Linked DNA regions of Oryzias latipes. The protein of the gene in region 2 purifies or fractionates together with the protein of the main gene of each other region. This does not show direct contact. Links are inferred from orthologs where the notes say so. Each region holds a gene or a part of one and is shown on either strand. Other genes may lie near its edges.

What was found. The genes of interacting proteins can lie anywhere in the genome.
Region 1: the proteins of ripk2 (region 2) and map3k7 purify together in Homo sapiens (affinity purification with western blotting; 4 studies listed by BioGRID). This does not show direct contact. The link is inferred for Oryzias latipes from reciprocal best matches to the Homo sapiens genes RIPK2 and MAP3K7.

The regions. Positions count from the first base shown.
Region 1 is NC_019882.2:20,589,033-20,593,187, reverse strand, and holds the start of map3k7 (mitogen-activated protein kinase kinase kinase 7), read left to right. Parts: upstream 1-1,355; 5' UTR 1,356-1,472; exon of another isoform or gene 1,473-1,642; intron 1,643-2,027; 5' UTR 2,028-2,054; coding exon 2,055-2,147; intron 2,148-2,223; coding exon 2,224-2,334; intron 2,335-2,407; coding exon 2,408-2,473; intron 2,474-2,562; coding exon 2,563-2,608; intron 2,609-4,155. UniProt on the Homo sapiens protein: Serine/threonine kinase which acts as an essential component of the MAP kinase signal transduction pathway. Plays an important role in the cascades of cellular responses evoked by changes in the environment.
Region 2 is NC_019875.2:13,779,146-13,783,235, reverse strand, and holds the start of ripk2 (receptor-interacting serine/threonine-protein kinase 2), read right to left. Parts: upstream 2,801-4,090; 5' UTR 2,416-2,800; coding exon 2,216-2,415; intron 819-2,215; coding exon 665-818; intron 266-664; coding exon 110-265; intron 1-109.

The DNA of each region.
Region 1 (4,155 bases), on a different chromosome or scaffold from region 2:
GTCAAAAACCCACACTTAAACCCAAATCTGTCCAGACAGGCAAAGGGAATGGTATCCCACAATCCCTTGTGGTGCCAATCTAACAGCAGCACCAAAGTTACATCTTTTTTCATTCATTCATTTTCTGTTCCGTTTTATCCCTTTGGGGTCATGTGGCTGCTGGAGCCTATCCTGGCCACTTGTGGGTGAAGGCAGGGGACACCCTGGACAGTTCGCCAGTCTGTTGCAGGGTAGAATGTCCTCAATCACACACCCAGTCACTCTCACACCTAGGGACATTTTAGATTAACCAATTAACCTATGAAGCATGTTTTTGGACAGTGGGAGGAAGCTGGAGAACCCGGAGAGAACCCACACATGCACGAGGAGAACATGCAAACTCCACACAGAAAGGTCCCCCATTGATGTTCTCTTTCAGGTCCCCCAGCTGGGACTTGAACTGGAGGCCTTCTTGCTGTGAGGCAAGAGCGCTAACCACTGCGCCACCGTGCAGCCCTAAAGTTACACCTACTTAATTGAATTAATTTGAATGAAAGTAAAACAACTGTCTGATAACTACGTGTTATTTTTAAGCTGACTTAACAAAAAAAAAAAAGATTTATCTTAAGTATAGCAAACAATTAAGTTAGATCAAAGTAAAAAAGTTTATTTTTCCAACATACATATGTAAGGGTTAATGGCCGACGAAGTGTGCGGTTATTACTTTTTAACACACGGCGTGGAAGCCTGAACCGTCCGACGCGAAGCAGCCAATCAGAATCGAGTATTCAACCGGACCATGGTATAAGTGGGTTTATCACCCTCTCACGGTGTAAAAAGTATTATTTGAGCTTCTTCATCCACTAAATCAACTTCAAATGGACACGCCATGCTGCTTCACCTCTCTGAAAACAAACTAATTCAACTGAACCTGCTCCATACCAGGTTATGTTCAGAGCATGAGTTGCTATGGCAACTTGACATACCCTGAAACATACCTCCATTTCTGGAACCGAAAGCTGAGGTTATCAACTTCCTTAGCCTCAAACTTACCGTGGGAGCTAGCATAACCTGCTTTCTGGAATACCCCCCAGGCTGTTTCTGGCAAAAAGTACAGTTGGTGTTTATGTCATCCTTAAATTTAGTTAAATAATATTTTGCTGGATAAAATCTGTGTAGGAGTTTAAAAGAGATTTCTTTGACTTTATTTGTTAAGAAGTACTTTAGTGGTAAAGACCAGACTTTTTTCCATTCAATGTTAGAAGTAAAATAAGCCCAATAAAAGGTAGCTGATGGAACAGAAACCAAATTATCTTTGAACAAAGCTAGTTGTTGTTGTTGTTGTTGTTGTTGTTGTTGTGGGGTCGGAACTCAACTACGCCAGCCATGTTCCGGGGATAGTATAGAGGTGTGCACATACTTCCTGATGAAGCTATAACGCTTCTGTTAAGAAAAACAACAAACCAGCTGGAGGACTGGAGGAAGATATGCCTGTAAGTTGTAGACACAGCGAGGGACTCTTCCTAAACATGGATGATGGTCCTCTTGTCTCTGCGCATGAATAGTGGAAGTGTCCGGATATCCAGAGAGCCGGCCCGGCCGACGCATCAACGACGAGCGCTCGGATCCTTCAAGCTAACGAGTTAGCATCTAGGCCTGGCGGGTAACCTAGCCGTTGGCTCTTATAGAAAGCTGAGAAAAGTGCTGGCTTTACTCCCAGCTTTGGGATGGTCATTGTGAAAGCGGTTCGCTGTTACCGTGCAAGTCATGCAGCTTCACTTTTCGGAAGTTAGCTGTTGGAGCTTTACGAGCTTTTAGTACATACATTGTTGTGCGGCTAATGTTAGCTGTGGTGGGTAATGGCTAAAAAAAAAAAAAAAAAAGTTCACGAGCAACGTATTTTTTCAGAACTTTTAGCAAATAATATTGAATGTTAATTATAGTCCTTTAGTTTAAAATAGCAACGTCAGTGTGCTTATATCTCATTATTTGTGATTATTTTGCAGAGTGTTTATGTGTTTTGATTGAAATGGCTCTTTTTTCCATAGTAATTTACTAGCTAACCTTAGCTAGTAATGTCTCTAACATTACCACCCTCCGAAATGCTGGAAACGCCACCCGGATATCCGTTTGAAGAAATTAACTATGAGGACATTGAGGTGGAAGAGGTTGGTGCCACCGTCAGTGTGTCTGTTTGTGTTGCCGTCACTTTGCTGCTGAACGCTGACAGCTCCACTCCTGTAGGTGGTTGGCAGAGGAGCGTTTGGGGTGGTCTGCAAAGCCAAGTGGAAAGGCAACGACGTTGCCATCAAGACCATTGAGAGCGAATCCGAGAGGAAAGCCTTCATCGTTGAGGTATTTCTGCTTGGTCTAAAGACAAAAATCCAGTTTGGTGTAATTCTGTGTCACGTTTATCGTTTGGCTTCAGCTCCGACAGCTTTCCCGCGTGAACCACCCCAATATTGTCAAGTTATATGGCTCCTGCAGTAATCCAGTAAGGTTACAGTCATTTTGCCAGGTTAAAACCAATAGAAAGTCAAGTTTGGGGCTAATTCTGAAATGTGTTTCTGTCTGTCTCTTCAGGTCTGCCTGGTGATGGAATATGCTGAAGGAGGATCTCTGTACAATGGTGAGCTCAGATTTTCTTTTAAAATTCACTCAGATGAAAATTGTGTCTTTGGTGTGTTTAAGATGGCATTTTTGTAACATTTTACTGATGATGGAGGACATATATATTAACAAAATTAAGGCTAAAATTACATTTCTCAGTAATTCTTTATTCAAATCGTTTAAAATCAGGAGCAGACGAAAAAATGCTGTTTGAAAAACATCTTATTTCTGTTGTAAAAGATATTATGAGTACTATACCAGTGTTTTTCAACCTTTTTTGAGCCACGGCACACTTTAACCTTGACAAAAATCCCGCAGCACACCAGCATCCAAAAAAATAGATAAATAAAAAAAAAAGAAAAACTCAGTCTGTATTGATCTACAGCCGCTCTGCAATCTCACATGCATTTTTGTGATAACTGTTGCAGAAAACGCTGGAAGCTGCAGCTGTTTTTTCTAAAAGATGTATTAAAAATTAAGTGAAAAGATTCAAAAACTGTTTGATGTGTGTTCGTTGTTTTAAGACGTTAAGAGGAGAGACTCATTGTGCGCTAAGACAGTCACTTTACTGCATCATGGGAGATGTAGTGCCCGTAATCCGCCGACCGCAGAAAGACCAGCGTCTTTGAGCTTCATGGTTTTGTTCACTTGTTCCAGTCTGATACCAGATTCTGTGGAAAGCTACGCCGCTAAAGACGAGCTTTAGCTGGTATTTTTGTAAGAACAGAGAGACTTTTCTGCGCTAAATCGAAACAAGGAAGTGAATACTTTAACCACTTCTGATTGGTCAGACTGATGACATGTGATTAAGCCTTCAAGAATGATTGGTGGAGACAGTTAAAGGGGCGGGAATTTTCCTTACACAGTTATAGCTGCAGCTAAATCGCGGTATCCTGTTATTCTTATCAAAATGTCTTTAATAGAATCATATAAACACAAAGAAAAAATAATTTTATGATATTTCATATTCTTAACTTCTCAGTGTTTTATCAGGGCCTGTTTGGATGAACAAATAGCTGATTTCCTGGAGATGGTAATTGCTTTTAGATCAGTTAATGAGTGCAATTTCTCACGGCACACTTGACCATCTCCCACGGCACACTAGTGTGCCGCGGCACACTGGTTGAAAAACACTGTACTATACTATACGTTTTTTTTTTCCTCGTCTGAGCTGGAATCTGGATCTAAACTTTACGGCTGGATAGTTTGGTGGTGTGGGGGGGCTGTAAGCTAGCGTGAGGGCATGTAAACAGAGAGTCCTCAGCAACTAGGAGAGGAATTGCGGGGGGGTTTGCTCCACGCCAACATTCCCGCCCACAACTCAGACGTGAACTTCTTATACATTTCTGCTACTCTGCAGAATCCATGTCCTATAAACGATTATGGTGTTTGGCTTATAAAACAGCTTAACATAATTAAAAGTCCACTGGGAACACTTTGAAAATAGATCAAAAGATGATCAGGGTGGGACTTTAAGACTCAAGTGGGTTTTTTTTTGCAGATGACTCCATCCATTATACTCTTGTGGCTGCATTACAAGGGCAGTACAGCTCAGATGTATGAAGC
Region 2 (4,090 bases):
TAAATTGAAGATGTACAGGTATCTATATTCTGATGCCTTGGTATTTTTAACTCTTATCACTGCTGAGTTCAAATTGTTAGGATCCCAGAGAGAAGTTCATCATACACACCTTAACGTGAAATTCTCCATCCAGAAGTATGTTCTGCGTCTTTAGATCGTGGTGCAGGAGAGGTGGGGTCATGTTGTGGAGGAAGTTGACCCCCAGGGCGATCTCGTACAAAATTCTCAGCCGGAGGGGCCAGCCAAGAACCGGATACGTCTCTTTCTGTACGCAGACACCAGAAAAAAAAAATTAAAACCACAAATCGTGGCGATAAAGCAGTGACACCGAGGATGTGAACATGTGCCGTGTTTCATCAAGCGCCATAAATAATGAGGTGGGAAATTTACTACTATTTCAAAAAGAGGGAATTTCCCCTTAAAACCCACACATGGGTAACACCATTTCACTTTCACTTTCTGACACAAAAAGGAAGCTGCTACTCGTATTCATGAAAAGTTCACGCAGCAATGCCTGAAAACAAGACCCATAAGGCTGAGCTGAAAGACTGACATGTAACCCACTTGGAGAGGGTCACAACTACAAACAAAAAGGAAGAAAATGATTTATAAAGTTTGATCAAATATAAAACTCTTCCACCAATATAACATAAATGCGTGTGACCTCATGAAGAAGCAGGTCCAGAGAGCCATTGCTCATGAACTCGGTGATGATGCAGAAGAACTCGGGTTCGTTGCAGATGCCAAAGATCTGGATGATGTAGTTGAACCTGGCTTTGTGAAGCACCTCCGCCTCCTTCAGCAGACACTTCCTCTCTCTGGAACACAGGAGATGTTTGTTTGCAGCAGCAGGTAGAGGATGCTGAGCATAGTAAACAAATCAAAGCAGTGACTTTAACTTGGTTTGAACAGCAGCAGGCATTGCAGCTCCACATGTACAGATTGGAAAAAGTTTGTCAGGAGCGAAGATAAGAGATGTGAACTGGAAGGAGCTTTGGGACCTCACAACCACATTTTTATCTGGACATTCTTTTTTTCGTTAACAGGATGATTAAACTCCCAGGTTTCATTTAAAATAAAAGTTTATAAGTCATAGTTATGATTCTCTGCCATTGTTCATGGCATTTGTTCAAACATTTTTTCCTAATTGTTCTTCTTTTAATTACATTTTGGTTGAACACAAACAGAAACTATTCAGATCTACAGAACAATCCAACAAACCCTCATGCATTAAAGTCCATCCAACACTCACTGCTTTGGTTTTGTTGCCGCTGGCCACAAGCTAGACTACTAAAAAGGTGATGAGGAATGTTGTTGGCGTTTGAAATGACACGAATGTCAAACATTTACTGTGACCACATGATGCACTCGCCCCTGGATGTGAAGGGAGTGAGGTGGTTAAGGAAACATAAAGGCTGCAGAGCCTTTTAGAACATCTGCAAGTGGACGCATCAGAATGGAGCAGAATGCTGACTGTAGCACCTATGTCTAGCTTTTTCCCAACTGGATGTTTTCATTTGCTCCTTATTCACAATGATTTGAAAAGAAACGTAATTTTGAGCTTGATTTGTCCTCCATCAAAAGAAAAAATGCAACAAAAACAAGTTAAAAACCCAAGTGGAGTTTTCAGTGGAGTTTAAGACATCTTGTTCCTTGTACTGATGAACAGGACTTGACTGCTACAGAGAGAAATAACTCCCAGTTTGTTTTAGACAAAACGTACAACATCTATGCAAAAGCTGGGAACTGTACAGAGACTCCTTAACACTTTTCTTACTTTTGTTAGGACTCAAACACCCTGTTTCTGATAAAAACAACTGTGTGGAGGGTTGTGCACGGTGTATGGTTAGAAAAATGTGGAAAATGAAACAAGCCAAGGCCCACCAATCTGAGTGCCAATAAGTAAAAACTGGTCAATTCTCCTTTTCTTTCTTTTGTTAACACAAATGAAAGAAAGAAAACACAGACTTAAGATAAAAATAATAATAAGACACAGATTTAAGATAAAAAATAATAATAAAGAGAGTTATCCGACATATATATTAGGAAATAATACCAATAATCTGAGCCTCGATCGCACAATCCCAAAAATAGTTCGATTATTATCGTTCTTCTGATTTAGTGATTACACACATTATGGAAAAAAGTACACGTTTGATTAACGCCCTTTCCAAACGAAAGCAAGGCCTAGGCTGTCACATGTGCGCACGGATACCTTTCTCCCACCGAGTCGAGCTTCAGGCACTTGATGGCCACTGTGGTCCGCCAGTCGGAGTGCTGCGCCTTGAAGACCGTGCCGAAGCCGCCCTTGCTCAGGTAGTACAGGTCGGTCAGCTTCTGGTAGGGGATGACCGCCAGAGTGCTGGTCAGGCTGCCGATATTCACGTAGCCCGTGTCGCCCTCCATGGCTGCCATTTACGGGAAGTGACTCTGCGTACGCGCTTAGTTCGTCAACCTCGGAGATCAGAATCGACTTCTTAATTTCAACCAACGAGAACCAGCCCTGCCATCATGATTTGGCGTGTCGCCACGCGCTTAGCAATTTAGCTAGTGTTAACACAGCTGCTTTATGAACGGGGAGAAAATGGAAGCTAACACGATCAAATCCTCTCTGCAGATGTTCGTTTACGTGTGGTCATTTTTCGACGTGTATTTGACCACAACAGGCTGCCTGGAAAATACACAAAAACGGCACACAGAGCTCCGCCGTTATTTAAGGCAGGTTTGTTATTGTCAGTGACGGCATACTTCCGCGTCTGCAAGATGCGTTCAGGAACCCACGGTCTTTTTTTTTTTACTTTACGGTTCATAAAAATACTTTGGAAAAATTAACGTAGAGTTAAATGCAATATTATAATATTTTACATCAGTTAGAGCCATCAAATTTGAGAAATTTAAGTTAATTAATGCCTTGACAAAGAATTAAAACAATAGCTTTTTCCTTGTTTGTTTTTTCTTCTTGTTTTTTTTGGACGGAATTTCCCAAACTTGGGACTTTCCTGAAGAGATGAACTTACATGCTTCAACTTAGAATGTCGTTCATTTCACAGAAGACAAAAAATAAAAAAAACATCACTAAATGTATCTAAACAGATGAACTAATCAACAAAAAGTTTGCTTTAAATCAGTAGTATTTACAAAGGAGCTAACTAACTGTAACTTTAACTGTAAGGCAAAAATACCTAAAACAAAACAACCTTTTGCTTGTAGTAAATCATGAGAAAGGTTTTCTTATGCTGACTTCCCTGAAGTAAAGAGTAGCTTTCGTTAAATTTATTTTATTATGTATACTTGAGTATGCAAATAACTATAGACTATTTAGTGTAGGAAGTGTATCTGAATAAATAATACTTCAGACTAAATTGGAATATTTTAAGTTTACAGTATAAAAGTGAACTTCAAGTACTCTGCCTCACTTTTAGTACTAAACCCTTTGTACACCTAAAAACTACCTTTTTCCTAAGCATCTGCTTATTGTATTGAACATTTAAAAGGAAAGAATGTTTACATTAGAGTTATAATCAGATGTACTTTCTAGTGAAAAAGTGTTAAAAAATAATAAAAATCCATACTTTTCCAGGTGGTAAGGTTCTTGAATTGCATGTTAGAGTAATGTTATGGCACACAATTAGGTTTTTGTTTAAACTTGAATCAACTTGTGTATTTATATGGTGAATAATAAAAACAGCAAGTTCCTCCTGTCTTGACTAGGTGGCTACAAAAAACGTGAGGAAGCAGGGATTAAACGATAAGTGCTGCTTAACTTGACTTCTCTTTAATTTCACACAGTGTGTCTTTGTTTTGATCCAATCGGTGGCATTTTAAAAATACAGAGCCTGGGTAGTTAAGTCAACTGACAGGGCATCAAAATTTCTCCCTATGACATCCCCAAAATTATCTTTGGATGAAGGAATAAGGGGAAAAACGTATTTATGCAGACAACTGGCAATGTCCATCAAAAGGTTTTAAACAGGTCTGCTTTCCTTCCAAAATGTAAATGAAAAAGAAACAATTAAAATGTATCGAAAATCCAAAAATGTCTTATTACTTTTTGTTTTTTATGGGCACATTCTGAGCAACTTTGGTCACA